Macaca fascicularis: one gene and its partners. The protein of the gene in region 6 interacts with the protein of the main gene of each other region in a pairwise test. Links are inferred from orthologs where the notes say so. Each region holds a gene or a part of one and is shown on either strand. Other genes may lie near its edges. The genes, in order: ZMAT2, CEP95, RHPN1, C8H8orf34, ZC2HC1C, MTUS2 and protein BEX2.

Evidence for each region.
Region 1: the proteins of MTUS2 (region 6) and ZMAT2 interact in binary tests that used the Homo sapiens proteins (3 or more experiments, as listed by UniProt). The two-hybrid records come from large-scale screens. The link is inferred for Macaca fascicularis from reciprocal best matches to the Homo sapiens genes MTUS2 and ZMAT2.
Region 2: the proteins of MTUS2 (region 6) and CEP95 interact in binary tests that used the Homo sapiens proteins (3 or more experiments, as listed by UniProt). The two-hybrid records come from large-scale screens. The link is inferred for Macaca fascicularis from reciprocal best matches to the Homo sapiens genes MTUS2 and CEP95.
Region 3: the proteins of MTUS2 (region 6) and RHPN1 interact in binary tests that used the Homo sapiens proteins (3 or more experiments, as listed by UniProt). The two-hybrid records come from large-scale screens. The link is inferred for Macaca fascicularis from reciprocal best matches to the Homo sapiens genes MTUS2 and RHPN1.
Region 4: the proteins of MTUS2 (region 6) and C8H8orf34 interact in a two-hybrid assay, tested with the Homo sapiens proteins (2 studies listed by BioGRID). The two-hybrid records come from large-scale screens. The link is inferred for Macaca fascicularis from reciprocal best matches to the Homo sapiens genes MTUS2 and C8orf34.
Region 5: the proteins of MTUS2 (region 6) and ZC2HC1C interact in binary tests that used the Homo sapiens proteins (3 or more experiments, as listed by UniProt). The two-hybrid records come from large-scale screens. The link is inferred for Macaca fascicularis from reciprocal best matches to the Homo sapiens genes MTUS2 and ZC2HC1C.
Region 7: the proteins of MTUS2 (region 6) and protein BEX2 interact in binary tests that used the Homo sapiens proteins (3 or more experiments, as listed by UniProt). The link is inferred for Macaca fascicularis from reciprocal best matches to the Homo sapiens genes MTUS2 and BEX2.

The regions. Positions count from the first base shown.
Region 1 is NC_088380.1:147,174,721-147,179,273, reverse strand, and holds the start of ZMAT2 (zinc finger matrin-type protein 2), read right to left. Parts: upstream 2,840-4,553; 5' UTR 2,826-2,839; coding exon 2,808-2,825; intron 2,468-2,807; coding exon 2,374-2,467; intron 1,279-2,373; coding exon 1,155-1,278; intron 1-1,154. UniProt on the Homo sapiens protein: Involved in pre-mRNA splicing as a component of the spliceosome.
Region 2 is NC_088390.1:71,116,074-71,119,862, reverse strand, and holds part of CEP95 (centrosomal protein of 95 kDa), read right to left. Parts: intron 1,475-3,789; coding exon 1,362-1,474; intron 1,174-1,361; coding exon 1,044-1,173; intron 140-1,043; coding exon 1-139.
Region 3 is NC_088382.1:153,042,937-153,046,973, forward strand, and holds the end of RHPN1 (rhophilin-1), read left to right. Parts: coding exon 1-120; intron 121-438; coding exon 439-784; exon of another isoform or gene 785-1,197; coding exon 1,198-1,392; exon of another isoform or gene 1,393-1,436; intron 1,437-1,869; coding exon 1,870-1,946; intron 1,947-2,168; coding exon 2,169-2,315; intron 2,316-2,403; coding exon 2,404-2,565; intron 2,566-3,031; coding exon 3,032-3,247; 3' UTR 3,248-3,406; downstream 3,407-4,037. UniProt on the Homo sapiens protein: Has no enzymatic activity. May serve as a target for Rho, and interact with some cytoskeletal component upon Rho binding or relay a Rho signal to other molecules.
Region 4 is NC_088382.1:78,285,661-78,290,045, forward strand, and holds the start of C8H8orf34 (uncharacterized protein C8orf34 homolog), read left to right. Parts: upstream 1-1,401; 5' UTR 1,402-1,669; coding exon 1,670-1,996; exon of another isoform or gene 1,997-2,106; intron 2,107-4,385.
Region 5 is NC_088381.1:143,018,053-143,022,448, forward strand, and holds the start of ZC2HC1C (zinc finger C2HC domain-containing protein 1C), read left to right. Parts: upstream 1-1,370; 5' UTR 1,371-2,299; coding exon 2,300-3,631; intron 3,632-4,396. Other genes in the region: ACYP1 (acylphosphatase-1), read right to left, coding at 458-624, 849-1,100.
Region 6 is NC_088391.1:9,331,326-9,335,114, forward strand, and holds part of MTUS2 (microtubule-associated tumor suppressor candidate 2), read left to right. Parts: intron 1-1,994; coding exon 1,995-2,093; intron 2,094-3,216; coding exon 3,217-3,336; intron 3,337-3,789. UniProt on the Homo sapiens protein: Binds microtubules. Together with MAPRE1 may target the microtubule depolymerase KIF2C to the plus-end of microtubules. May regulate the dynamics of microtubules at their growing distal tip.
Region 7 is NC_088395.1:109,688,378-109,692,235, reverse strand, and holds protein BEX2, read left to right. Parts: upstream 1-1,619; 5' UTR 1,620-2,026; coding exon 2,027-2,041; intron 2,042-2,190; coding exon 2,191-2,269; intron 2,270-2,643; coding exon 2,644-3,035; 3' UTR 3,036-3,278; downstream 3,279-3,858. UniProt on the Homo sapiens protein: Regulator of mitochondrial apoptosis and G1 cell cycle in breast cancer.

The DNA of each region.
Region 1 (4,553 bases), on a different chromosome or scaffold from region 6:
TAGATAACTAATACAGACAGGAATGGACAACAGTGGGTTTACTAAGCAGCTCAGAGAAGTGTCACTCATTGCTATCTGTGTTGCTCTCCTGCTAGAAAACCTAACTGGAGAGAGAAGCAGTGGGGGGCAAAAGGGTGACAAGCTGTTGTGGGACCCTTCTTCCTACAGGTTACAGTCTTGGAAGAACGTGTACAATCAGGCATCCATAACAACTACAGCCTTTGCAGCTAGTCTGGAACCTCACACCCTGCTTCTTCACCATTAACAACTCCTAGGCTCTACCTAATTTCTCCCCTAGAAATCTCCTCAGTAGCACCTTCCTTCATTTCTTCCTCTGACAGATCAAATAATCCCTTTTAAAATATTAATAGTAAATCAGAATTGATAACAAGTATAATGGCAATAAAAAAATTTTTTTTTTTTTTTTTTTGAGAGAGTTTCGCTCTGTGGCTCAGGCTGGAGTGCAGTGGCGCGATCTCTGCTCACTGTAAGCTCCGCCTCCCGGGTTCACACCATTCTCCTGCCTCAGCCTCCAGAGTAGCTGGGACTACAGGCGCCCGCCACCAAGCCCAACTAATTTTTTGTATTTTTAGTAGAGACGGGGTTTCACTTGTTAGCCAGGATGGTCTCAATCTCCTGACCTCGTGATCTGCCCGCCTCGACCTCTCAAAGTGCTGGGATTACAGGCGTGGTGAGCCACCGCACCCAGCCAGCAAAAAAAAAAAAATTTAAAATATGTATTAAGTAGTAGTTGTAGTGCTACTACTAGTAGTTGCAGTGCTAGTATGATTTTTGTCTGTTTTGTTTTTTTAATTGAGACAGGGTCTCACTGTGTTGCCCAGGCTGGTCTTGAATTCCTGGGCTTAAGCAATCCTCCTGCTTTGGACTCCCAAAGTGCTGGGATTACAAGCATAAGCCACCGTGCCCAGCCAATGCTAATAATATGAAGAAGCCCACTGAGTGACCACTCCTAGAGACACTATCATGTCAACTTGAGACCTTGGGAGACACAGAAAAACAAATATAAAGATGGAATTACAGGCAAGAAGAACATAATCCTGGGGCCAAGGACCTTCCTCAATAGTTCCTAAAACCAAAATCGGTGGCTTAATAGATGCATTCTTGGCTGCAGAGAAAAATGATAAGCAACTTACCCTCCCATCTCAGATTGAGGGGTTGTCTTGGTAATGACAATTGTCTTCCCAAGCTTGGATTCCAAGTCCACCTTGTAGTCCCTATGCCGTAAAAGCTCTCGCTTGACAGGCTGCACTGGTTTTCCTGAAACATAATGGGGAAGGAAGTTCCTTCAATATTATAGCTCCTCAACCAGAAAGGAAAAAAAATGCATGAAACCCAAAATTCAGGTCTACTCTCATTTCAAAATGATTCCTGAAAGAAAGGACGCAACAGACACTTAAAGTAGCAGCTGGGGAGAATCTCAACACAGGAAAAAATCATAAGCAATCCCCAATTCTCTACAGCTTTTCTCCACTTCAAAGCCAGCCAATCCAAAAGCAGTATGTTTTATATTCATTGATTAACTGAATTGTGGGGGAGAATTTCTAAAGTGTTAGTAGAAGCAACTTTTTCAAAACAGAAGCAAGGATATTCAAGAATGCTTTCAGGCAGATACCCTAGGCATAACAGAAAGGAACCTTCTGAGAGCTGGGCAAATTTATAAAAGGTGACCAACATTTAGGAAATGCCTGTTACATGTCAAGCACTATTTATTTTACATGTTACATAAAAACTGAAAGAGTTAGTGAATGCAAGGTGGCCTGGAGGTAAAGGGAAAGAAGAATGTACACGTTTGAAACAGATGACAAAACAAGACATTTCTTTATGCAATCTCTTAACCAGGAGAGAAGCACCAAGTCCCTGACGTCCAAGGCACAGAGAAACAGCACTGCTAAGCACTAGCTGAAACAATCACAGATCCTGGAAAGTACCCCGGCTTTTCTCAGACTATATGGGAGGGTCTTGATTGGGCCAGAATGTTCTCTCCCTTAAGAAATTTCAAGGGAAAGAGGGGAGTCACTGACAGCGGTAATGCACAGTAGCAAAATACTCCACACTTCTCTGTCACTACAAAGGATTCCGTTATCTTCTCTGTACTTCAGGAAAGCATTAAACGAGCCAAGCAAAGGGTGGGCAAGGAAGCGGAGTAAAACAGAGCTGAAGAGCATCTCAAAACTACTTACTTCAGCCCACCTCCTCGCTCTCATTTTGTAAATGTAGAAACCTAGGCCGAGGGAAGCAACACTCTGCCAGAGCTTAACCGCGTGGGAAGGCAGCGCACTTCAACTCCCACCCGCTCTCCATCATCGCATCGCCTCTGTGATACCCTTAGCCCTTGATGTAGTTAGCACCCACCATCTTTCTTTTCTCTCTCTTCCGTGAGCCTCTTCTCGGCGAGTTTCTCATATTCATCTTTGTCCCACTTTCGGCGAAAGTCCAAGTTTTTTGTCTGTGGAGGGGAAAAAGCGTCAAGATCCGTCGCCGTGTCCGGACCCCTAAAGAAGCAGGGAACCGCGCCCTCGCGGTCCAGGCAGCTACAGGACCTTTTGAAAGCGAAGCCTCTTTGGACTGCATGAGAAGGCTGGGGTAGCCTCAGGACCCCCAACCCGAGAAACCTCCATGATTCCACTGACCCTTTTCCAAGGCCTATACGGGGGAGTTCTTGAACCTGGACCCTGCGATCTCGAGGAGATATCGGAAAGCCGGTCGGGTGCAGGAGTCTGTCTCTATTCAGGTCTGAAAAACCATTCCCCACCCCGCAAAACCTCCTCTTCAGACACAACACCTACCCCGCTGCCCGACGCCATCTTCACAGCGAAGTGAATGGCGAGCTGAAAAATGCCGTAAAAGGCGGCTTGGAGCCGTAAGGCAAGATGGCCCTCCAATAAGCTTGGAGTCTTGTGTTCCAAACGAGGTAAGGACTGGAGGGCTTCTAAAACAGGCTTGTTGGCCCCGCCTCTGCTCCAAGGAGACAGCGCAGGCGCAAGAGGAGTATGAAGCAACACGGAAGTAAGGGCGCCTGCAAGCGTTTTTTGCCTTGGGTTTCAAAACAAGCATTGAAGGGTCAAGATTTAGTTCAACTATTTTACAAACAAGGAAACTGAGGTTCGAAAAACTGTGGTCTCTGATCTAGTCTAACAACTTTGCGTCCACTGCCAAGAATTCGTAAACCTTTTTTAAGGCCGAAGCGCCATTAGGGGGTCTAGATGCCTCTCATTCACCTGCATGCACTAGCGATATGACCCTAAACTACACTGAAGCGTTTGCAACAGAGGTACCCTTCCCGACGCACATATAAAAAGCATGTTTTGCACTTGTGCTCTTTTCCTTGAAGCAATGCTATCACACTTTACTTCACTCATTTTTCCATCACCTGGGGAACTTTATAGTAGAACATAATTTAATCAGCATTAATTGGATTTGGAAAGGCCAGTCATCAACAACACTCTAGAGTGAAGCACTGTGGCATACCGGCTCACTATATGTTGATTTTTAGCAATAAAACTACCTCTTGGCCAGGCGCGGTGGCTCATGCTTGTAATCCCAGCACTTTGGGAGGCTGAGGTGTGGATTATGAGGTCAGGAGTTCAAGACCAGCCTGGCCAATATGGTGAAACCCTGTCTCTGCTAAAAATACAAAAATTAGCTGGCTACTTGGGAGGCTGAGGAAGGAGAATCTCTTGAACTTGGGTGGCGCAGGTTGCAGTGAGCCGAGATCACGCCACTGCACTCTAGCCTGGGTGACAGAGCAAGACTCCATCTAAAAAAAAAAAAAAAAAAAGGCCGGGCGTGGTGGCTCAAGCCTGTAATCCCAGCACTTTGGGAGGCCGAGACGGGCGGATCACAAGGTTAGGAGATCGAGACCATCCTGGCTAACACGGCGAAACCCCGTCTCTACTAAAAACACAAAAAAATTAGCCGGGCGAGGTGGCGGCGCCTGTGGTCCCAGCTACTCGGGAGGCTGAGGCAGGAGAATGGCGTGAACCCGGGAGGCGGAGCTTGCAGTGAGCTGAGATCTGGCCACTGCACTCCAGCCTGGGCGACAGAGCGAGACTCCGTCTCAAAAAAAAAACAAAAAACAAAAAACTACCTCTTGAGCAGACGGGGAAAGAGGGAGAAACTGGCTGCTCATCACTGAATACAGAAGCATCATCCCAGGGAGGTTACTCCTACCTCACACAATTCTCCAGTATACACTCAAGCATTTTCTACAGTCTATGCAAACCCAGCCCTTGATAACAATAACAAATTACCCAAACTACTACACTTAATATTTTATTTAACATGTTATCCAACCACTTCTAGAACAGCCTCCATGGCATGGCATGGAATAGTTAGAGCAGTGATTCTGGCACAGGAAATGGTCTCCAAAATCTCAAAATATCAGATCTCCACCTTGTCAAGTCATCTATTAAGTTCAATGTTCAAGATTATTAAGCATACAGCCCCACTCTTCTATTGTTAGCAATGCATGGGCTAGAGAGATGTCAAATCAACATGGGTACTGCCATGCCCTTAGGATAGCATCTGTCCTC
Region 2 (3,789 bases), on a different chromosome or scaffold from region 6:
TTGGCCCATACTCCACGATGCCATCACTGTGCTGAGACAGTGTCTCCTCAGTTCCATCCTCTACCTCTTCATTTCCAGTATGTTCTTCTTTATGGTCAGTCTTTTCTTTAATCCGATCACCCAGGGCACTTTTTAACATCTATTGAGAAAACTTTTTTCAACATCTTTCACTGACTTCACCAGAATGTAAATTCGCAGGAGTAGGCAGACCTTTAAAAAAGCTTCCTTTGACAGTCACTAATAACAAGTTTTCAGATGCTTATGCATGTTTAATTATTCACTTTTGAGACAGGATCCCGTTCTGTCACCCAGGCTGGAGTGCAGTGGTGCTAGCTGGGCTCACTGCAACCTCCGCCTGCTGGGTTCAAGTGATCCCCCATCTCAGCCACTTGAGTAGCTGGGATTACAGGCATATGCCACCAAGCCCAGCTAATTTTTTACTTTTTGTAGAGATAGGGTTTCACCATGTTGCCCGGGCTGGTCTCAAACTCCTGGGCTTAAGCGATCCGCCTGCCTCAGCCTCTCAAAGTGCTGGAATTGCAGGTGTGAGCCACCACACCTGGCATACATGTTTAGTTTTAAAAAGGTGTAGATCAGTGCTATGGATCACCAAGTTTCAATAAAGTTTTGACTAAGTCACATAGGGATTTAAAACATTCATTCAATGATACCTTAAAACTGTAATACTGTATTTTGTGAGAATCAGTGATCCATCCAATTTCATACCAGACCTGTCTTTTGCAGCAAAGGGGAACTATATAGATATATCTAAAGAAAAATGGCTTAACACAATCATTTATGTTAAATGATTTAGTTTTCATCAAAATTCAGTAAAATTTGGATAAATCTGCACTAAATTTAGTTAGATCATGAAAGGCTGAGAGATCACTTCCTGTTCCGTCTGCTTGATTTACAGAACATTTTCACAGTAACTATTAATAAGACACAACTATATTTCTAATACCTCACTTTCAACTGAGAGATTATTTAAATGTTCACTTAAGCCATGGGAATCTCAATATAGATGAAAAAACAAGACTTGCCCAATCTAGTTCAGAGAGCCGCTGAGAGAGTTTCTCTGACACATCATGTAATTCTTGTTCTGTTAATCTCTTTCTTGGCCTCTGGGGAAAAGGTGAATTGCAGGATGAGGCTGTAGCTCTGTTTTCATTTCTGTAATTAAGTGACCATCTGACAGTTAAAATAGCTAGGTGTCTATTATTTAGTTTAAAATAACTGTAATACATACTTTAACAAATATTTCATTCTGGTCTTCACAGCTAAATTTGGAGATTATGCCCCTGCATTTTCAAATTTCTTTGCAAACAGACTGTAAACACTTAAGTCTGCAGTAATGTTACCTTTTTCCTTTGGGAGGCTTCCTTGTCCTAGGCCCTTGGACCTGAGCTGGGTACACTTCCTCTTTGCTGTCTTTCGGCAACTTGGAAGTTAAGAAAACTCTGTCATCTAGATCCTATTAAAAACAGAAAAAAAGTTGATTTGAAAAAGCTACAAATAAGAAACATGAACTTTCTGGGGGTGAGGAAGGGAGGAACTGTGGCACAAAGCTACGTGCCTTCAACCTCCGTTTTGAAGTGCATTTGTCAAAAGACCCTATTGACACTCAATGCACCAAAGAACTGGAGCAATGTCTAGAAATCTGGGCTCAGAGAAAAAGTGTGGCTCAGGATGCCATTCAAATAAAAAGACAGGCCAGGTGTTCTCTAAATAAGAAATTTCAGGGATTACCACTATGCCTGGGCAACAAAAAAATTACCACTAGTACAGAGTATTCAAGTGGTTATCTTTTGTATTGACGTCAATAAAGGCTGTCCAAAATTGAAACAGTTAAAACAAAGACAATACCTCCCAAAATATGAATATAAACCCTTAACATTTTAAATTTTTTTTTTTTTTTTTTTTGAGTTTTGTTCTGTTGCCTAGGCTGGAGTGCAAAGGCTCGATCTGCCTCCCAGGTTCAAGTGATTCTCCTGCCTCAGCCTCCCTAGTAGCTGGGATTACAGGCATGTGCCACAACACCCGGCTAATTTTTTTTTTACTTTTAGTAAAGACAGTGTTTCACATATTGGCCAGGCTGGTCTCGAACTCCCGACCTCAGGTGATCCACCTGCCTCAGCCTTCCAAAGTGCTGGGATTACATGCATGAGCTACCGTGTCCAGCTAAATTTATTTCTTAGTCTTAGAGATCATCTTTTAGAAGATACTTCTTGTGATGAAGAAACATTTATTTAATGTTTTTTTTGGTTTGTTTGTTTTTGAGATGGAGTCTCACTCTGTCACCCAGGCTGGAGTGCAGTGGTGCGATCTCGGCTCGCTGCAACCTCCACCTCCTGGGTTCAAGCGATTCTTCTGCCTCAGCCTCCACAGTAGCTGGCATTACAGGCGCCGGCCACTGTGCTTGGCTAATTTTTGTATTTTCAGTAGAGATAGGGTTTCACCATCTTGGCCAGGCTGGTCTTGAACTCCTGACCTCGTGATCCACCCACCTCAGCCTCCCAAAGTGCTGGGATTACAGGCGTGAGCCACTGCACCTGGCCACTTATTTAATGTTTACTGATATCTTTAATTTCAACTTCATTATCTTTTTCTATTAGAGTAAAATTAAATACCTTTTAGTAAGCTGGGTGTGGTGGTTCATGCCTATAATCTCAGCACTCTGGGAGGCACAGGCAGGCGGATGAGGCCAGGAGTTTGAGACCAGCCTGGCCAACATGGCAAAACCCTGTCTCTACTAAAAAAAAAAAAAAAAAAAAAAAAAAATCAGCCAGGTGTGGTGGCATGTGCACCTGTAGTCCCAGCTACTCGGGAGGCTGAGGCAGGAGAACTGCTTGAACCTGGGAAGTAGAGGTTGCAGTGGGTGCAGATTACACCACTACACTCCAGCCTGGGCGACAGAGCGACACTCTGTCTCAAAAAAAAATAAAACAAACAACATAATTTTATTTTTATGAAACTTTTAAAATACAGTATTTCTAGCTTAATTATTTCAAAATAAATACTCCTATTTAACTGCCACCCAGGTCAAGAAACAGAATATTACCAGCTCAGAACCATCTCCAAAACTCCCACTATGATTCTCCGAAAAGTAAACATTATCTTATGACTCCATTTTAACCCCTCTTTTATCCACTCTACTTTTTAGATGCATAGAATGTTGAGAATGTGGTCACCTAATGTTAATAATGCTTATTTCATCTCTGTACTTTTAATGCATTGCTTGAATGTTTAAATAATGAGAACGTATCACTGTTTATATGTCTACCTTGTGTATATACCTGCCTGTTGTTTTCTTATTTTATTTTTTTCTTTTTGAGACAGCGTCTTGCTCTGCTGCCCAGGCTAGAATGCAGTGGTGTGGTCACAGCTCACTGCAGTTCCTGGGCTCAAGGAATTCCTGCCTCAGCCTACCAAGTAGCTAAGATCACAGGCATGCACCACCACTCCAGGCTAATTTTCTATTTTTAGTAGAGACAAGGTCTCACTATGTTTCCCAGGATGGTCTCCAACTCTGGTGCTCACGTGAGCCTCCCAAAGTGCTGGGATTACGGGTGTGAGCCACCGAACCCAGTCCTGTTAATTTTAAAAAGATAGGGACAGGATGACTAAATAAAAAGGGTTTTCTTTCTTTCTTTCTTTGAGATGAAGTCTCACTCTGTCACCCTGGCTGGAGTGCAGTGGCATGATCTCAGCTCACTGCAATTGAAGCAAATAAGCCAGTATGGTATGAACAGTGGTTCATGCTGGATAATGGGAATATGCATGGATGGT
Region 3 (4,037 bases), on a different chromosome or scaffold from region 6:
CTGGAGCAGCTCATGGTGGCCCAGGCCCAGGAATGTGTGTTTGAGGGTCTCTCACCCCCTGCCTCCATGGCCCCCCAAGACTGCCTGGCCCAGCTGCGTCTGGCGCAGGAGGCTGCCCAGGTGAGCTCGGGCACCCGTGTCAGGGTGCAGGGGGTGGGGCCGAGCTGGGGCCAGAGCCCAGGTCCAGGCAAGCGTGAGCTCTCCCGCCTCCTTCCTTGTGTGTCAGCCCCAAGCCGGCTGTTGTCCTGCTCTCTGGGGGGCTGGTCAGGAACCTGGGCGCCCAAGCCTCTGCCTCCAGGGAATGGCATGAAGCGGCAGGAACTGGGGTGCCAGGGAGGCTGCTGGGATGGTGGTCGGAGCGGGTGGAGGCTGGGTAGGGAGAGGCAGTCACCACCGGAGAGCGGGAGGCCCTCGCGTGCCTGCCATGTCCACTGGCAGGTGGCAGCCGAGTACAGACTAGTGCACCAGACCATGGCCCAGCCACCCGTCCACGACTACATGCCCGTCTCCTGGACTGCCCTGGTGCATGTCAAGGCCGAGTACTTCCGCTCCCTGGCCCACTACCACGTAGCCATGGCCCTCTGCGACGGCTCCCGTGAGTGCCCACCGCACTTGCCCATGATGCTGCAAAAGCCCCCCGCTCAGGGCTCATGGCCTCTCTGTCCCCCAGCAGCGACCGAGGGAGAGCTCCCCACACACGAGCAGGTCTTCCTCCAGCCCCCCACCTCCTGCAAGCCCCAAGGCCCTGTGCTGCCACAGGAGCTGGAGGAGCGCAGGCAGCTTGGTAAGGCGCCCATGGATGGAGGGCCCTGGGGGCTCAGGTGGTCACCAACAGTGGCAGGGTGTCCCCCACCACACTCACGCTGTTTGCCACCTGGTGTCCCCATGCTAACGAGTTGGGCCACCTACCTATCCCTGGATGCCCTGTGCCTGATGGGTGACGGTCCAGCACAGGGGCCCCAGGAGTGCTGGCAGCCTCTGAGCAGGAGGGAGACCCCTGGGAGCAGCTTGTCCCTGGCCCCTGCTCTGTATGAGGCAGAGCCCTCCTGCACAGCCAGCTCCTCACCCCTGTGGCATACGCCTACAGCAAAAGTGGCTGTGATGAGCCCCACAGCCCTGGCTTTGCCCACTCCTTCTGCCACGTCCCAGGGCCCACAGGCCCACATGGTATGTGACGTCCCAGTGCCCCGCGTACAGGCAAGGCACACCTGAAGCGCGCCATCCTGGGGCAGGAGGAGGCGCTGCGGCTGCACGCCCTGTGCCGCGTCCTGCGAGAGGTGGACCTGCTGCGGGCTGTGGTCGCCCAGACGCTGCAGCGCTCACTGGCCAAGTATGCGGAGCTTGACCGTGAGGATGACTTCTGTGAGACTGCCGAGGCCCCAGACATCCAGCGTGAGCAGCCAGGGCCTGTGTGGGTGGCTGCATCCCCGGCCAGGGTGGGGGCCTTCGTCCTGGAGAAAGGGAGGCTGATTGCCTTAAAGATGCAATCGCCACGATGAATTCAACAGCAGTAGCACTTTCCAGGCCGCAATCTCAGGCCCACAGAGCTGCCGGGCCCTTCAGGGGCCTGGGGGATGGCCACGCCCCTCAGCCCCTCCCTCCCTGCACTGGCCTACCCTGAGGGGAAGCCCACAGACCCGGGACAGGCACACCTGGGACTTCAGGGAGGGATTCTGGGAGCCACTTGTGGCAGAGGAGGCTATGTGTTCAGGGCACCTGGGGCAGCTCCCCCCGCCATTGCAGTGCGGCCAGGCCAGGAGGTCAGAGGCAGGGCCTGTGTGCGCTCGGGGTCATGCCCTGCGCCCTGGAAAATCCCCGGGGCAGGTCTCCACAGGCTCCCAGCTTAGCTCTGCTCTTCCGCCCTCTCAGCTAAGACCCACCAGAAGCCAGAGGCCAGGACGCCGCGCCTGTCCCCGGGGAAGGGGCCTGACATCTTCCATCGGCTGGTGAGCACACCCGTCCCCAGACACCCCCAGCACGGGCAGCTCGGGCTGCGTGGCTCTGACCAGCACGTGGCCTCAGGCCGTTGATGGCGGTCCAGCCCTGCCCACCCTCCTTGTGGAACCCCACGGCGTCCCTCGGTGCACAGGTTGGATGGACGTGCTGATTAGGCGGGGTCTCCTCAGTGTATGACCCAGTTGGGCCTCTGACCTCTGAGCCCCCGCCAGGGGCCCCTGTCTGTGTTCTCAGCCAAGAACCGGTGGCGGCTGGCGGGGCCCGTCCACCTGACCCGAGGAGACGGTGGCTTCGGCCTCACGCTGCGGGGAGACTCGCCTGTCCTCATCGCTGCTGTCGTTCCAGGGAGCCAGGCCGCGGTAAGGGCCCCACCGGCCCCCTGAGGCTGAGTCCCCAGTGCCAGGCAGGGTGTCCTGTCCCCGCCTCACCATCCAAGTCTCCCCACAGGCGGCCGGCCTGAAGGAGGGTGACTACATTGTGTCAGTGAACGGGCAGCCGTGCAGGTGGTGGAGACACGCAGAGGTGGTGGCGGAGCTGAAGGCTGCGGGAGAGGCGGGTGCCAGCCTGCAGGTGGTGTCAGTGCTGCCCAGCTCTAGGCTGCCCACCTTGGTGAGCCCTGGGGGCCCCGGAGGGGTGGTCCCCAGCCTGCTGTCCCCACCCTGGCCCTGGGCGTGCCCTGGATGCTTGAGCAGCATTGGGAAGGGGAGGTGGGGCTGCGGGTAACCCTCCCCGGGCCGCCTCCTGGGCAGGGGCCACCTGTGCTGTGGCCTCCATCTGAGGGCTCCTGCCCTGACCCCGAGGATGCTGAGCCCACCCCTCACTGGGCCTCTGTATCCTCAGACTGGAGGCTTCTGGGCCAGGTGCTCCATCCCAGAAGTTTCATCTACCCAGCATGGTTGAACCAGGGTTGGGTGAAACCCGTGGGGCCCCTACTATGTGGTCACCCTGATGGGAGCCCCCAAACAAGCCCCCGTGTGCCAGCCCCTTCCAGGTGGTTCTCACCCCTCCCAGACTGGCTGCAGGTGGGGACAGGCCAGCAGTGGCTGACCACAGTCTATCTCTGTCCCTGCTACAGGGGGACCGCCGACCCGCCCTGCTGGGCCCCAGGGGGCTTCTAAGCAGCCAGAGGGAGCATGGCTGCAAGACCCCGGCATCCACGTGGGCCAGCCCCCGGCCCCTCCTCAGCTGGAGCCGAAAAGCCCAGCAGGGCAAGCCTGGAGGCTGCTCCCAGCCCCGTGCCCCAGTGAAGCCAGCTCTGCCCTCATCCTCGAAGTGCCCAGGGTGGCTGTGAGGGCCAGGCTCCCTGCACACCTCAGCCCTGGCTCCAGCTGGTGGGAAGCACCAAGCATGCCCTCCCCACCCAGAGGACCTCTGGGCAATGCCTGCCCCGCCTCATGCCAGAGGCTGCCTCGGGCACCTGCCTGCCCATTAAAGACTATGGTCAGACCTGTCTGAGCCCAGTGATGGGAGCTGTGGCCTCTTCACCCACACACAGGAAGGGTGCCAGTCCCTCTGCCGGTCTGAGGTCAGCTTCCTGGGGCTGCCCCACCCTGAGGGCTCCTCACAGGAGGTGCTCCTCACAGCCATCACGTCTGTGCCCCCGGGCTCTGTCCACCCTGCTGCTGCCCTGGGCACAGACCCTGAGGTCTCAGTCCTGCCTCCGGCCAAGTTTCTGCCTGGTGCCCAGTGACTCCTGCTGGGCACCCCTTCGCTCGCTGCCCCTCCACCATGCCACCATGCAGCAGCCAGGCACACCCACAGCATCCACAGACCCCTAGGCCGGGTCCCAGACACGGCCTTCCCTGAAAATACCTCCTGTTGTCCTGTCTGTGCATAGAGCAAGGGACTCCCCACCTCTGCACCCTGTGCTGGTCACCCCGGGCCCTGTGCTGGTCATCCCAGCAAGTGTCCCCTTTGCCCAGGAGTCCCCAGTGTCGTGGCCCAGGTCTCATGGTGGCCCTAAGCCTGCCAGCCCTGCTGCCCACCTTGCTGTCCTGCTCCGACCATAGGTGCCACCCTCCAGCTCCTGAGCATGTCACCTCTCCCCGAGCCTGGGGCCTGCACGGGCCCCCAGCCCTCCC
Region 4 (4,385 bases), on a different chromosome or scaffold from region 6:
TGGTGAAGACTTAATAAGTATCTTTATTTCATTTAAAGAAGCATCCTCCTGATGCCTCTTTGAAGAAAAAGACTCTTGATTTCAGGAAGGGTACCATCTTGGTGCCCTTATGTGGTATCAAAAATAGTAGGCTTTTTAGCTGGGTGATAGATGGCCTTCCTTATGGCTCTACACTATACCTTTTAGCAAATAGAAATGTTGGTATTCACTCTGTTATTTAATTTATCCTGGACATATTAAAAAATACGTAAGTAAATATACCTTCGAACCACAATGGAAAGCACAAGGCAACCCTGGGCACCTCACTGTTGTTTAATTTAACTCTCCCTAGGCAGATCATATGAGTCCAATTTAAAAGTATTAATGTGGACATCTTTCCACCCTGGATCATGTCCATTTCAGGTTATCAGGGATGGTTAAGCTCCTAGCTATTCTAGCAGATTTCTTATATCTTAATATAGGAAATTAACAATAGTTCCTGGGATATTCCACTATTATCTAACTATTACATGTTTCCACATATTTAAAATACAGAAGGAAAGCATGAACACCAATAAAGAAACTATGAGTAACAGAAATTCAGAACACAGTGAAGAAAGAAAGAAAGAAAATATATACTGCTGCAGTCAGCTTTTAGGAAAACTATTTCCATCATTCTGAACATCATATTTATTAAAAATAAATCTAATTTTGGCAGCATATCATGATTAGGAGCCAGGGAAATCGTCATTGGGACCTCAGTGTTGTGTTTCACAAGAAAGAGAGCTGTGAGGAAGCCTGGGCTATCTGCAAATCTTCGACTCTGAAATCCCTGCATAATAAGAAAGGTATTGGCTAAATTCGAGCAGCTCATGCAGTATCTAGAGGAAACATTGTTAAGTGGGATAGTGTGGCGTCTAAGATGCAGTTTTAGGTATACAGACATGACTCAAGGAGTGGATTAGGAAGGCCAACTTCGGAGGGGAGGGCTGGCTCGCTCATTTCTCTTCTCCCTGTCAAATGCTGAAGGGCTGGTTCCAGCCTTTGAGCGCCCGCACTTTGGGAGTTTTCAGCTGGGTTCTCAGGCTGCATTCACCCGTCGACTTGCTCCAGGCCAAGCCAGATTTTGAAAACGAAGGCAACTTCTTTTTTCGCGGCAAACCCTTGAACCCACGCACTTTCTCACAACTCTGGCCTTCTCAACCCCTGCGCTAGTGTAGGCAGGGCAGAAGGCGCTGAGGAGAGGCTCAGAAGGGGCGGTGGGGACGATCGCCTTTAGAACTGCATTTGTAGCTGCCAAGGAGTAGCCAACAAGCACCAGATTTATGTGCACTTTGAAAGAAGCACCTTCACCATTGGCTTTTTAAGCGGCGCTGTCGCTAGGGAGCGGCTGGTAGAGCGAGCAGCCTCGGGAAGAAGCCCGGGCTGTTTGTTCCCGTCACCTGGGAGAGCAGGCACACACAGTCGCGCGCGCACGGACACACACACACGCACGCACAGACGCTGGCGGCGAGTTCGAGCCCCGCGTCCCCTGTCCGCCCGCGTGCGCCCCTCGGCACGGCTCGCCTCCCGCCCCCTGATTCCTGCTGCTGCCGCCCAGAGGAGAAAGGAACCTCTGCCTCGAATTTCCCCACTGCGCCGGGCGCTGCGGCTAGCGGCGAGGGTGGACGCGAGGCGGAGAACGCGATGAATGAGTTCTCCCCTAGCCTCGGAGTTGTCTGAGTTGGCGGCGCTGCGCCCAGGCTTCCGGCTCTCAGCGCCCCACGCGCGCGTGGCTCCCCGGGCTGCCACTCACGGCCGCGGCCGGGGCCAAGCCAGCCACGCAGGGCAGCCGAGGCTCCGGAGCTCCTGTCCCGGCCCCAGTCCGGGTAAAAGGAGGGTTGTCCCCAGCGGAGGCGCACAGCCGCGCGTTCTCTCCGCACTCTCTCCGCGGTCCCATCTGCTCCCCATGGCGTCTCATCCGCAAACCCGGATCCAGGCTTACCTGGAGAAGAACAAGATCGGTCCCCTGTTTGAGGTAAGGCGCTGTGGAGGAGGGTAGTCCCGTTGTCTTTAGGGGAAGGGGTGCAGTAATGAAAACAGAACACCCCCCACCCCACCCCTCCCAGGGAAGGAGGGCTAGAGAACGAACGCGCGGGAGGGGGCGCCCTGGGGTTCACTGGCATTCGCTCTGTCCCGGCCAGGTGTCCTGGAACGCGGCCGGGCGGGCACTTAGCCAGTTACCTGAACACAGACAGGTGAGCTTGGGAGGGCCCAGCCTCAGCCTGGCAGCGGAAGTTTGAGCCCTCTGACTGTCGTGCACCTCTCAGCCACATGTTCAGTACCCGGGCAGGCTGAGGCAGGCGATGCATACGGATGCACACACTCAGACGGTGTTGCACATACACACTTTCTTTCTTGAATTCACGCTGTCTTGCGTGTTCGTGTTGGATTTTCTTTTTTCTTTTTTCTTTTTCTTTTCTTTCTTTCTTTCTTTCTTTTTTTTCTTTTTTTTTTTTTTTTTTAATGAGGGCGGTAATAAAACCCGAAAAGGCGGAGGAGGTGCTTAGCAGTTAATACGATTAACTGGAAGAAAGCTGAACTGGTGAGGAGTAGGCTTCAGTAGGTGCGGGCGTGATGAATGAAACTGGCAAACTGAGAGACTGCCATTGGTCACTGGACGAAAGGAGAGGCCTTTGCACTGCAGACCCCACATGTGTTAGCAGGAGAAAGGGACAGAGAAAGGTTCTGAAAAGCACACACGTATTTATGGAAGGAGACTATAGCTCTGAGCTGGTGTTTTTTTTTTTTTTTTTTCCTCGCCATTAAAGAATTGACAAAAATACAGTAGAAGAAAGAGCGGGAGGACATGAGAAAATGAGAACAAGAGATTGAAGCTTGGCACCAGTAAAGCGTCCCGCGGGTTGCCAGGGTGCTGGGCAGGGGTGGGGCGTGCGGTCCGTGGTCAGAAGTGGAGGCCCTTGGGGAGAGAATCCCATGGTCCCATCCAGTTCAGGGGGTACTGACCAGCGGCGAGAGTTAGCGGGAGGGGCGAGGTGCTCCCGCCTTGCCCCCGCCCCCCACGTCTCCCAGAAGCAGTTGTAGCTGTTCTTGGTCTTGGGTGAGGGCTTGGGGTGGGGATCGGGGGAGGTTACGTGTCAGCGTCTGAGAGAGGCAGAATCGCGGCTAGTGGAAGAGGCTGCATTGGAGATCGCGGAGAACCTAGCAAAGACTGAAGAAAAGCAAGTGAGAACTGCGGAGAACAAAAAAATAATGCGAGTTAATGACCCTGCAAAAAAAGGACGAGGAGGACAAAGGTGTGGTCGAATAGGTCTTTTGGGAGGACTGGCTTCACATAACAAGATTTGCAAGATCTCCCAAGTTTTTCTGCCGAACTTTACCGATGATCTGTCTTGGACGATAGGACCATTGTTTCAAGTGAAGCTCACATTGTGGGGTGCAGAGTCTTACAATTGCTTTGATTCTTTTTTCTGCCAAAAATGTGAACAAAGGCAATCCATGCAAGAGCGAAATAAAATTGATGGAGCTACCAGATTTCTTTGCCTTTAGTTTAATGATTATTGATTATACATAATCCTATATAATTTTTAAAAGGCAGAAGCATAAACCTTCTGCAACGCGGTGTATTAATTGCATCAAAAGAATCATAAAATAAATACATTTAGAATGTGTGTTTGCTCTCTACACTCGTAGAGTATAAAGTATAATTAGCCTGACAGAATAATCGAATTGTTTTTAATAAATACTGTTTTCATTTGTTATTTTAAAATCCTCAAGATTCTTTCCAAGTGATAACAACAAAATTAGGAATATATGTAAACTTTCTACAGAATTAGAAAATAAACTCAAATGGATATTTATCAAGTACCCCCTAACCCCCACCCTTTAATACTCACCAGCAAGTTCTGCGCTGAAGAATTTTAAGTGACAGCAACATGTCTCATAAAAGCTTTAGGTCCAATCACCAGAAAACAAGCACCACCATGCTTCATATTTTATTGAATATGTATAACATACACTGGCATTAGCTTAGATTGCAGTGGTGAGGAGTGCGTTTTTAAGGTTTGATGTTCACTTTAAATAATTGAAGGGAGAAAAATGGATAATAAATTCTCTTTTACTAAAAGCCGGATGTAACACAGTTCCTTATGCAACAATTTTGATTACGATAGAGCTTGATTTTGAGAGTACAATTATATGTATTTCACAAAATTGGAGGATTTTACTAGCATGTAGCCTATCTTGTTTCATGTTAGAAAACCAGTGAAGAAATGCCACCTGTGAAATGGACATTGTTTACCTAGGGACAGTTCTCTTCTAGGACCTTACTCAATAGTTTTCACAAGAATTGATTTGGGTCAGAGGAGGCGCCCAGCAATCTGAACGTATTAAGAAGCAGCAAAAAT
Region 5 (4,396 bases), on a different chromosome or scaffold from region 6:
CTGGGCAACAGGGTGAGATTCTGTCTCAAAAAACAAACAAATTTTAAAAAACCCTCAAAACCAACAAAACAGAAAACAAAAACAAAACGCTGGGGTAAAGTGATGGAGTCAATTCCCGGAGGGTACTGAAAAGCACTAATTCAAGAGAACTCATGGAAAGTGGCCCTTCTTTCTCATAGAGGAGAGGGAAGGAGAGAGGGAGAGAGACAGACAGAGACAGAGACAGACAGAGACAGAGAAGAAAGGGAGAGAAGGAAGAGGAGAGAGAGAGAGAAAGAAAGCCGGTACATCCTGCTGAGGGAAGCTGCGGGAGTTGATAATTGGGACCCTGAGTAGAGTGGGAAACATCTGGAGCTGCATATATGTAGAGGTGGTGCAGGCAACAAGGGATGAAAACGAGGAATTAAAAAAAAAAGAAAAGAAAAGAAAAAGAAAAGAAAAAAAAAGAAGGACTGACCTGGAGGGTCCACCAAGGAATTTCTTTGTAACAGGTAACAGCTGTAATATGACATGTTGAAGTATTAACACTGATGACTGCTTGTCTACATTATTTTCCAAGTGCATGAATTGAGTAGTTACAGGGAAAAAGCGAACTGCCTGTTCCCAACGTCCTACACAGATGAACTGAAGCGAAGAAAAAAAAATAAACTTTCTTTTGATGTCAACAAGTTACAGAGTATCATTTACTGTTGAAACCAGGTTATACTGATTATTTTCGATCTGGTAGTTCTTTATTATCATTACACTTGGCTGAGTCATTCCTACGCCCTAAGTACAGACGGCTAGAGTTACCACGTGAGAGTAAAACATTATAATATCAAAATAATTAGATTGGCCACAAAAATTACCCCGGAAAGATACTGCGTAGCAAAAACGTTGGCAGCAAGTTCCAAAGACTTGGCGACGACAAGCAGGGAGCGCGCACGTGCAGCCATACCTGGGGCCCGCCCAGCGCAGCCAAGCGCGCCGAGAAAGGTCAGCAGCAGCCCCGCTCCCACCAGGCAGGCGGTCGCCTGCACCCTGCGGCGGAAGCACGCGGAGGCACAGCCAGGGCCTCCGCCCTTTGCCAGTGAAGGGCACACCCCAAGGTCTGGGAGCATCGTTCTCAGGAAAGTACAAGTTCTTCTTTGATGGAGCCCCAGAAAAGCCTCTCCCGCCCTTCCTCGGCTCCCCAAGGGCAGGGCTGTACCCGGCTGCAGAGTTGGCCGGACACTGACTGGGTCAAGTGACGGTCGGGCTGACCGCACCCCCCACCCCCGGTCGCCCCGGGTCGCTGGTGCACTGCGCCTGCGCACGCCTCCCCAAGGAGTTCGCAGCGAGGGGCGGAGCTTGGCCCGCCAGTAACTCGGTCTCCAGGCACCGGGAATAACAGAAGCTAGCTGAGAGCGCCTGCGCGGCCGTCGGTTGAGGGGGAGGTCGGGTCTGGGAAACTAGGCCCTGGGGTTTCCCCTGAGCAGGAGCGGTGCCCGAGGGCCTCAGGTACGCAGAAGGGCGGGGAGACAGAGGGTCAGCACCTCCTAAGGGCCCGAAGGGCAGGAGAGAGAGAGGACTTGTCCCCAGAGGCGGAGTCCGTAGTGGGGGCGCCCCAGTTGACCCTTCGGGACAGAACGTGACTTCAGCCTTAAGGATCTAAAACCGGCTGCAGCCAGGTCAGGTGGCCCTCAACGCTCAGGTTACAAAACTTTTACCGTCTGCGCCACGGGGACTCCTGGGATGAGGGTTTGACAGCCAGGCACCTGCTCCAGGCCCTAGCAGCCTCTGTGCTCTTTTGAATCAAGCACGGTTCCAGCAGGAGGGAAGCCCTGAGAGCTCTTTGTGCCAGTCACTACCTCTGGGCCACAGCTTGCTCACCTGTAAAATGGTGAGGATGGACTCGGACGGAACCCTTCAGTTTACAGGTGAAGAAACGGGGGCCAGCAAGGGAGAAGTCGCTTGTCCTGTTACAGGCCTAAAACCTGACTTTCAATCCGATGCTCTTTCCACTTACTGTAGAGTATACTGTGCGTGGCAGAGGCTGGTGCTGGAGGAGAGGAGAGCTAGGTGGCAGGAACACCTGTAGCACCTCCGTTTCTCTACCCTCAGGGCCTAACACAGTGTCTTGTGCATAGTAATCACTCACCAAATGGTTTTTGAAGGGAAGCTTTGGCAGATCCAGCACCACTGTCCCCAGAAAAGTTTAAGGAAATGTGGGCAGGGCAAATGTTGAAATAGTTTGCTTTAGCAGACGAGAGTGAACCTCAGACAAACTCTTCGCATGTATCTGGTTTAAATCTCCCGTAGGCATCAGTCCAGGCCCTGAATGGCTGGTCTCCAGCGGTTGGCATCACATCTGCCTGTGGGCGTTATGCTTCCACATAATACAACAGAAGCTCCAGGGCCCCACTCAGCCAAGCAAGACTCTTACGAACAAAGTGACTCTTCCCAGCAGTCCTTGAAGGGGCACCTGAGGAACAATTTCCAGAAGCAGCTTTTGAGCAACAAAGAGTTGACTCTGGATAAAGTCCACACTCACCCCAAATGGAACACAAAAGCCCGGAGCTACTCCTATCCCCACTGTACTGGAATCAGCCACCAAGATGCAGGAAGTGATTTCCAGGGCCAAGGAAATGGTTTGTTTTACTCATCAGGCCCTCAATCCTGGTATCCCAAAGCCAATAACCAGGACTTTATCCCCTTTACAAAGAAACGAGTTGGAGTGGACCGGGCGTACCCACTGAAACCCGTGGTCCACAGGAAGTCGTGCAGTACAGGTGAGTCTGGCACTGATGGGGACCAGAATGTCTACCCAAGGCCCCCTGAACTGAGAGAGTTTTCATCCAGGAACTTTGATGTGAGGAACCAGGTCAACTTTTCTGTGGTTGATCCTGTTCTTGCTGCCATGCAGGCGGAGAAGGCCTTGGCAAACTTGGACAGGATGGAGTGGGTGCAGATCCAAAGACTAGAAGCTGCAGGGGAGAGCTTAGAGGAGGAAATCCGAAGAAAGCAGATTCTCCTGAGAGGAAAGCTGAAGAAGACAGAGGAGGAACTCAGAAGGATCCAGACGCAAAAGGAACAGGCCAAGGAAAATGAAAACAGAGAGCTACAGAAAATTATATTCCCCAGGAGCAGAGTTAAAGGTAATAACAGCAACACCACGCACAAAGCTGTCTTCTCCCCAGAATTTGATTTTGAGGAAGAATTTAGTAGAGACAGGAGAGAGGATGAAACTTGGGAACGGTCTCAACAAAATTCGAGTCCATTCCAGCTCTCTGATTATAGAATCCAGAGACTCAAAAGGGAAAGGCTGGTAGCAAGCAATAACAAAATTCGAGACCGAGTCTCAGAGCCGTCGATGGAGAAGTTCTCCCCGCCTTCAGAAACACCAGGCGGTGCTTTGCAGGGATCTGCCAGAAATTCCAGCCTGTCCATGGCACCAGACTCCTCAGGTTCCAGCGGCTCCACTGAAGAGCCACAGCTGGGTGAGTGCAGCCACTGTGGGCGAAAATTCCTCTTGTTCAGGCTGGAGAGACACTCCAACATCTGCAGCAGGATGCAGGGTTCCAAGAGGAAAGTGTTTGACTCCTCCAGGGCCCGGGCTAAGGGCACAGAACTAGAGCAATACTTGAACTGGAAGGGGCCAGCTTCAGCCAAGGTAACAAGAGCCTTATGGATGTGACTTGGTGTGGGGATCATTGTAGGGGTCTGTTTTGTCATCATCAGTTTTCTTTAGGGAAAATTCATGTGTCATGTAGGAAGAATTGACGTCTAGAATTAACATTTCTTGATTACTACTGTATGCCAGCATTGTGATGGGAGCTTTGCATGTGATCCTCGCATTTATCTCTCATTTTATCAGTTCAAAAATCAAGACTTGGACAGGCTAAGTAACTTGCTTGAGGTCACAAACAGCTTTAAGTGGCAGAGTCAGCATATAAATCTTGGTTAGAATGACTAAAAAATCTAGACTAAGAATTTGTGTCCTTTGGATTATAAAAGTAATAAAAGTTTACTGTAGAAAATTCAAAAGACACAAAAAATCGAAAGAAAAAAAATGCAGGCTTTTGTCACCTGGAGAGAACGCCTCACTCTTTGCAATGTATTCTGCCACCTCCCAAGACTAGAATCTGTGAGCATTCCTTTAACTATGTAGTCTGTTAAGATTAGCTCAGTGTTGGCCGGCGCGGTGGCTCACGCCTGTAATCCCAGCACTTTGGGAGGCTGAGGCGGGTGGATCACGAGGTCAGGAGATCGAGACCATCCTGGCTAACACTGTGAAACCCCATGTCTACTAAAAATGCAAAAAAATTAGCCGGGCATGGTGGCGGGCGCCTGTAGTCCCAGCTACACGGGAGACTGAGGCAGGAGAATGGCATGAACCCAGGAGGCGGAGCTTGCAGTGAGCTGAGATCGCACCACT
Region 6 (3,789 bases):
TGGTGGCGGGCACCTGTAATCCCAGCTACTCAGGAGGCTGAGGTACGAGAATCTCTTGAATCTGGGAGGCGGAGGTTGCAGTGAGCCAATATCAAGCTACTGCACTCCAGCCTGGGTGACAGCGTGAGTCTCTATCTCAAAAAAAAAAAAAAAAAAAAAGAAGTAACTGGAAAAGAGAACAAAAAAAGAGGAAAAGGAACCTACTCAGGGAGCTTGCAGACCAGGGTCGTCCACCATAAGAAAGCAAGCAGTCAAGCCAGTGCTTCCCATGTTAGTGTCACTGTGTACACTTACTAGCATTCACAATATCGCCTCCCATTATTTGGCGGATGAGGCCATTTCTCTTGCCAGAACAGTCCACGGGAGGCTGGGCACGGTGGCTCACGCCTGTAATCCCAACACTCTGGGAGGCTGAGGCGGGTGGATCACTTGAGGTCAGGAGTTCAAGATCAGCCTGGGCAACATGGCGAAACCCTGTCTCTACTAAAAATACAAACATTAGCTGGGTGTGCTGGTGCGCACCTGTAGTCCCAGCTACTTGGGAGGCTGAGATGGGAGGATCCCTTGGATCCCTTGAGCCTGGGAGGTGGAGGTTCCAGTGAGCCGAGATCGTACCATTGCACTCCAGCCTGGGCAACAGAGTGAGACCCTGTCTCTCTCTCTCTCTCTTTCTCTCTCCTTCTCTCTTTTTTTGTGTGTGTGTGTATCTGTATATCTGTATACTTTTTTAGAAGAGTTAATGGGAGAGCCTAGTTTCTGTGTTTTGATATTATAGAAATGGTGCTGGGCAAAGAGCTTTGGACTGGTCTGCATGAGTGAGACATGAAGGGTGAAGCTCTCCTTGGGCATCAGCGGTCCTTTGCCAGCCTGTGGTCCTGAGAGTCATGGCGGGAGCTGAGTGGGGCAGGGTCAGTGCAGGTGCATCTGCGCTGGGAGCTGGGGAAGGGGTGCAGTGTCTCCATAGACACCCTTATATTCCTTCAACCTGCAGGTGGAGAGTGGCCAGCGGCCTGCCTAACTGGCAGGCATGGGAAGGCTAAGGGCTGGGAGCGCCAGTCTGGCCACGGGGCGGGTCTGAGCAGGGAGGAGGAGACTGTGTGGAGTTGGCTTACGTGGCAGCTCCTATCAAGGACATGCAACCCAGTCCTGAGGCCGGGAAGGCTGTGTGGGAGCCAGAGTGAAGCGGGAGTGAGAGGGAGCTGGCTGGAGGAAGGCACTGGCAGCAGGAGAGCTGGCACAAGAGGAAAGGGAGGCAGCGAGGCTGGGAGGACGCTGTGTTAGGGAGCGTGCACTGCAGCTTGAGGGCAGTGGGGTAGGAGAGAGGAGAAGGACAGGTTCCGGTTTGCACGTTAGAAAGAGTGCCTCACTACATGTAGTGTGAGGGCAAAGGAGTGATCATTCAGAAAAAAACAGGAATCGTCTCAGAAAGTAGCCAGCAGAGTGGCCGGAGCTCAGGGGAGTCTGTGGGTTCTAGGGACATTCAGGATGGCAGGACTTGATTATGGACTTCGTGATGAGAAGGTTTGGTGATGTGGGAGGGGTCCCAAGGGAGAGAAGGAAGTCAAGGAGGGCTTGAAGGGTTCTGGATTGAGCTTCCTAAATGAGAATACATCTTTGAAATACGTTCATCGTGGTCCTTCCCAAAGCCAGGGGCTGGGTGCCTCCTGGACAAGAGGCGCCTCTGAGGATTCTCTCTGAGGATTGTCTGCCTCTGTGGGATCAGAGGTTGTGAAACGCCCCCGGCTCACTGTGCTTTTGTGGTCTCTTCCTGACAGAGCACCAAGGAGGAGTGAGCCGAGGGCAGACGCGGGGGGACACCCTCCTCCATCGTGTGGCTGTGGGGGTTCCCCTTTGGCACCTCTTTCTCCAGCCCCCAGGGAAACGCTCTGAGGGTGCTCAGGGCACAGTGGTGGCCCACTGATCACAGCTGCCCAGGCTGTGGTGGCTGCTGTCTGTAGTGGCCCCAGCTGGACTCCTTGTATCATTACTTGCAGGACCAGGTGGACACGCTGACCTTCCAGAGCCAGTCTCTGCGGGACAGAGCCCGCCGCTTCGAAGAGGCCTTGAGGAGGAACACAGAGGAGCAGCTGGAGGTAGTTTTCCAGGCTTCCAGCCCCGCAGGGACCCCGCCCCAGCGAGGCCAGCGGGGCTCCCTCAGCAGTCCAGTCCCGAGACAAGGCCTCTCTGTGAATCCACTGCTGAAGTGACAGCTGGTCACGGCCTCCCCTGGATTTTTAAACAATTGCTGTCAGCACCTCTCCCCTGAGACAGACAGCAGCTGTGGGTTTCTCCAGCGACGTGTTATTTTTGCCAAATTCCGCAGCATTCCCCAGCTGGAGTCCCAGGGCTCCTGTGATAAGCATGGTCTGGAAACCCCCACCCTGGCCCGGCCACCCCTTCCAGCCCATTCTCCCGGCCCGGCCACCCCTTCCAGCCCGTTCCCCCGGCCCGGCCACCCCTTCCAGCCCGTTCTCCCGCAACTTTTTAGGCTGACGTGGGGCAGCCTTGGCTGCAGCATGCGTTAACAGGTTGAGGGGAATTTTTTCCAGAAAAGCTGGCAAAGTTCCTTCCCTCTAATGTAGGGTTGCCAAATAAAATACAGGACACCCAGTTAAATTTGAATTACAGATAAATTTTTGAGTGTAAGTCTGTCCCATGCAATACTTATACTGAATTTTTTAAAATGTCATTTATCTGAATTTGGATTTAACAGGACCTACTGTATTTTAATTTGTTACATCCAGCAGCACTACCCCAACGTGACTTTTGTCTAAAATGGCTTTTCTGCTTCTTAAACCACTTGACTCATTTCCTATGCATGGGCTCTTTACGGGCATAGGTGAGACCTGTAAGAGTCCCAGCTACCTCGTGAATCAAGTCTTCCGGGTGAATGTTAAAAGCCAGTGTTGGGTTTACTCTTTCTACCCCATGAGCTCCCTGCTGGGCATAGGCTGGCAGCACCCAGCAGTTCTGGAGTCAGACTTTCCAGTGGACGATGGCCGTGTCTCACCTGCTCCCCCACAGAACTGGATTTTAGGAGGCTTCTCAGTGGGAAACTTTATCAGGGAAGGCTGTAGCATCCTCTCTCTTTGGTGTCGCAGTTGCCATCAGGGCACTTGTCCCAGGAGGATGGATTTAGCTGGATTCGTGGTATTGGTTAATACTGGGTTTTGTCGGGAGCCCTGGTCAACAGCTCATGGCTCTCTGCCCCTGTAGATTGCATTGGCTCCTTATCAGCACTTGGAAGAAGACATGAAGAGTCTGAAGCAGGTATTAGAGATGAAGAATCAGCAAATACATGAGCAGGAAAAGAAGATTCTCGAGCTGGAAAAGCTGGTGAGTTGGTCCATTTGCTCGCGAGAGTAACTAACCTCCATGACATTCCTGCTGTCATCACTGAGGTCATCGTTGACACTGAGGTGTTCAGCCAGGTGTGTCTGTTACCTGCCCATTGCTTACACCTATGCAGAAAATCCCACCGCGGGCCTTTCCCAGGAAGCCAGGAGCTCTCATAAGGAATCTTGGAGGTGGCCTTATCTTGTCCAACTCTGGAGCCTTTCTGATGGGTGGCCTCTTTCTGCTTTGCGCTGGTTTTCCCACAGTCCTGCTGTCTCCTTGCCCTCTCTTGGGGACGTGTGGTGACCCAGCACAATGCAGCATCCCCAGTGCCCAGGCACTGCACGGAGCACTTTCCCCGAGCCTGCTCCTAACTACTACAGCTGCCTGTGGAGGAGCTGCCGCCCCCAGCCGCTTTACAGATGCGGAGATGGAGCTAGGAGTCCTGGCCCA
Region 7 (3,858 bases), on a different chromosome or scaffold from region 6:
CTTGAAAGTATTTAATTAGATTTATTCCTAGATATTTGATTTTTAGCAAAACTTATTGGGCTATAATTTACATACAATAAGATACACACCTTTTAACTATATAGTTCAATGATTTCAACAAATGTATTTATCAATGGAGTCACTACCTCATTAAGATACAGAATGTTTTCCTCAGCTGAGAGAGTTCCATTATGCCTCTTTGCAATCAGAAAAACCCCAACTTTCAAGCCAGGCAAAAACTGATTTGATTCAACTTATATCAGTACAGATTAGTTTTGCCTGTTTTAGAACTTATATAAATGCAATCATGCAGAAAACAATTGTGGCTGGTGTCTTTATAGATACAATTTTTTTTTTCATTTTTTTAAGATTCATCTATGTTACTGTTTGTATCAGTAGCTTGTCACTTTTTTATTGCTTAGCAGCTTTAAAATGTATGAATACATCACAATTTGTTTATCAGTTCACTTGTTGGACATTTAGATTTTTATCAACTTTGGGGCTATCATAAAGGAAATTTCTATGAACTTTCCTATGCCAATATTTTTGAGAAAATATGTTTTAAAATCTGTTGGGAAAATTCCAAAAAGTGGAATTTCTAGGACATATGGTAAGCCTAAGTTTAACTTTTTAAGAAACTGCCACCAAGTCTTGGAGTGGTTGAACCCCTCACCAACAATCAATGAGAGTTTCTATTGTTACTATTTTCAAAAGTGCTTGGGACTGTCAGACATTTTAAGTTCAGCAATTATAATGGGTGTGCAGTGGTTTTTCATTCTGGCTTTATTTTACATTTCCCTGATAGTTAATGAGGTTGAGCATCTTTTCATGAGCTCGTTGGTAATTTGTGTATGTAGTTTTGTGAAATGTTTATTCAAATCTATTATTTGCCTTCTTGAGTTTTCGAAGTTCTTTATATATGCTCTGAATTCAAACCCACTGTCAGATACACATATTGTGAATATTTACTCCCAGCTTCTCACTTCATTTTCTTAACCATGTGGTTTAAATGGTAGTTTTTAATTTTGATAAATCCAATTTCTCATTTTTTTTTTTGTGATCTGTTCTTTTTCTGTCCTAAGGGATTGTTTTCTCAAAGATTATAAAGTTTTTCTCTATGTTTTATTCTAGAAGTTTTCTAATTTGAGTTTTTACATTTAGGTTTATGACCATTTTGAATTAATTTGTGTATAGTATAGATAAAAGGCAAGGCTCCTGTTTTTCCTTTAAGAATTCTGTTATTTCAGCACCATTTGTTTAAAAGACTATACTTTCCATATCGAATTACTTTGACATCTTTGTCAAAAATTAATTAACAGGCAGAAGGAGGTGAATCCTGGGAGCCAAGGGCAGAGAGAGGCAAGTCCCCAGAGAAGTGGGAATGGCCAACAGCTCCCTGAGAAGATGCCTTCCGTCCTTCCTGGGCAGGCAAGGGAAGTCTCAAGAATACACAAGAGAAGGGAGAGTGGCAGAGCCCAGGCTGGGGATGTTAAAAGGGACTCACGGTGAGGATGGGGGCGGGCCCGAAAGTCCCACCTGACTCCAGGCTGCAGGAGGGAGCGTGGGACGGGGGCGGAGCCGCTGGCGATGACAACAGCCCCACGTGATCGGCCAACACTGAGTCTTGCCTCGCTCTGGCGTCGGAGCCGCCGTCGCTCGCTCCTTTCTCGGCTGTGGTACCTGTTCCCGGTGGCCCTGAGGACGTGCGGGCCAGGTGCGGCCCCGAAAGCAGGAAGCGGAGGGGGAGCAGGTAAGGGAGACGGAGGGGGTCCCTGGGGTTGGTGTGGGGGAGCGGCCCCGGCCTGCGGATGCCCCACCCCCGAGGAGCCGCGCTGAGACGCAGCCGGTGCACGATGCAGCCCCGGGGCCCCGCCGCGGGACCGCTAGCCTTTAGTGAGCGGAGGAGTGCCTGGCCCCGCGGGAGCCGGCGGTCCTGAGGCTGCGGTCCTGAGGCTACGGCCCTTCTGAAGCACCTGCCTCCGCCACCAGCGCAATCTTTTCTGAGATCCCTGCTCCGCCCTTCTTGATGCAGAAAATGGTGGTCAGCTTGGGGGGCGGGGCGGCTGAGGCGCGGGGAGAGGGCGGCGAGGAGGGCCCGGGCCCGGCGCGGGGAAGGGGCCGGGTGGCGGCGGGTCCTCGCTAGTGTTCCGCTGCAGCAGCCTCCACTCTTCCCACCCCGGCCGTCTGCAGGTCTGCGAGGCTAAGTGTCGAGGCGACGCACCTCACGTCGAGAATCGGGAGGAGGAGGAGACTGCAAGGATAGGCCCAGGTCGGTGCGAGGGACGGTGGCGGGGCGGGGGTCAGAACATGACGAAAGCCCAGTCTGGGACCCCAGTCGGTGCCTTCACTGCTACGCTTCGCAATCCCCCACCCCCACCCCTTCTTCGTCCTCCATTTTGGCGCCTGCAGAGGCCTGGAGATGGATCTGCAGAGAAGATGGTGGGCTTTGCGGGAGAGAGGGGCGCGGACTGCCCCCCCCCACCCCGAGGGTACACGGGGCCTCTCTGATGGGAAAAAAAATGAAATTTAAAAAAGGCCTTTGAAATCCAGGGCTCTGAATTTTGAAAGGTGGGTAGTCGGGCCTCTGTCCTCGGTGCTGATCAGTTCACCAAGAATTGAGTCCGTTTTCTCTCTGTCTCATAGGAGTAATGGAGTCCAAAGAGGAACGAGCGTTAAACAATCTCAACGTGGAAAATGTCAACCAGGAAAATGATGAAAAAGATGAAAAGGAGCAAGTTGCTAATAAAGGGGAGCCCTTGGCCCTCCCTTTGAATGTTGATGAATACTGTGTGCCTAGAGGAAATCGTAGGCGGTTCCGTGTTAGGCAGCCCACCCTGCAGTATAGATGGGACATAATGCATAGGCTTGGAGAGCCACAGGCAAGGATGAGAGAGGAGAATATGGAAAGGATTGGGGAGGAGGTGAGACAGCTGATGGAAAAGCTGAGGGAAAAACAGTTGAGTCATAGTCTGCGGGCAGTCAGCACTGACCCCCCTCACCATGACCATCACGATGAGTTTTGCCTTATGCCCTGAATCCTGATGGTTTCCCTGAAGTTAATAGGGAGACCCCAGCTTCCTAAACTTACACATTTGTGGTGTACCTTTGTCGTAAACCTTTTGATGTTACCTATTTCTTGTGGGTCTCCTATTACCAGCTTCAAACTGAATGTTGTTTTGACCCAGTTTGTAAGTTTCTGTCAGCAGGGGAGTTTTACCTACTGCATGGAAAGATGCTCATTATATATTGTGAAGTTAATAAAACAGTTTTAAAAACCATTCTCTGCATTCTTTTTTACTTTAAATCTTAAATATGAACATAAACAGTCATATATGTACACATATATACACATATATAGAAAATCGTGTTTATCTTTGTGGTAGAATTAAGAGGGAGTTTATTCTTGCGTATCCATAATTTCTTATTTTTTAAAATGGAACACGTATTACTTATAAAAAGCAATGTGACCACCTTATAAAAGCAATGTGAGCACTTAATAAACACTTGTGACAGAATCTCAATTTTAACTTGCTTCTGGGATCTCTTTTTAGAAATGTTTGAGAGACACATCTCTTTGAAGATCATAATATTTATCAGTAAGATGAAGACAATCACCTCCCAGGCTTATTGTATGGACCAGAAAAGGTAATGAGGTTGTAAGCTTTCTCCCAAGTTCTTGTTCTTACTGACATGCATGACCCAACCCTTTAGATATTCCCTTCTGTTATTAGAGGAAATCTCCAAGGTGAGGTCTTCCCTATATTCACAAGTCCAGTGGGCTAAGGAGTAGGTACTTTCATTCCTCTGCTGCTGTGCTCTATTCTCATCATCTCCCCTGGGTATTACTCTGTTTTCTAG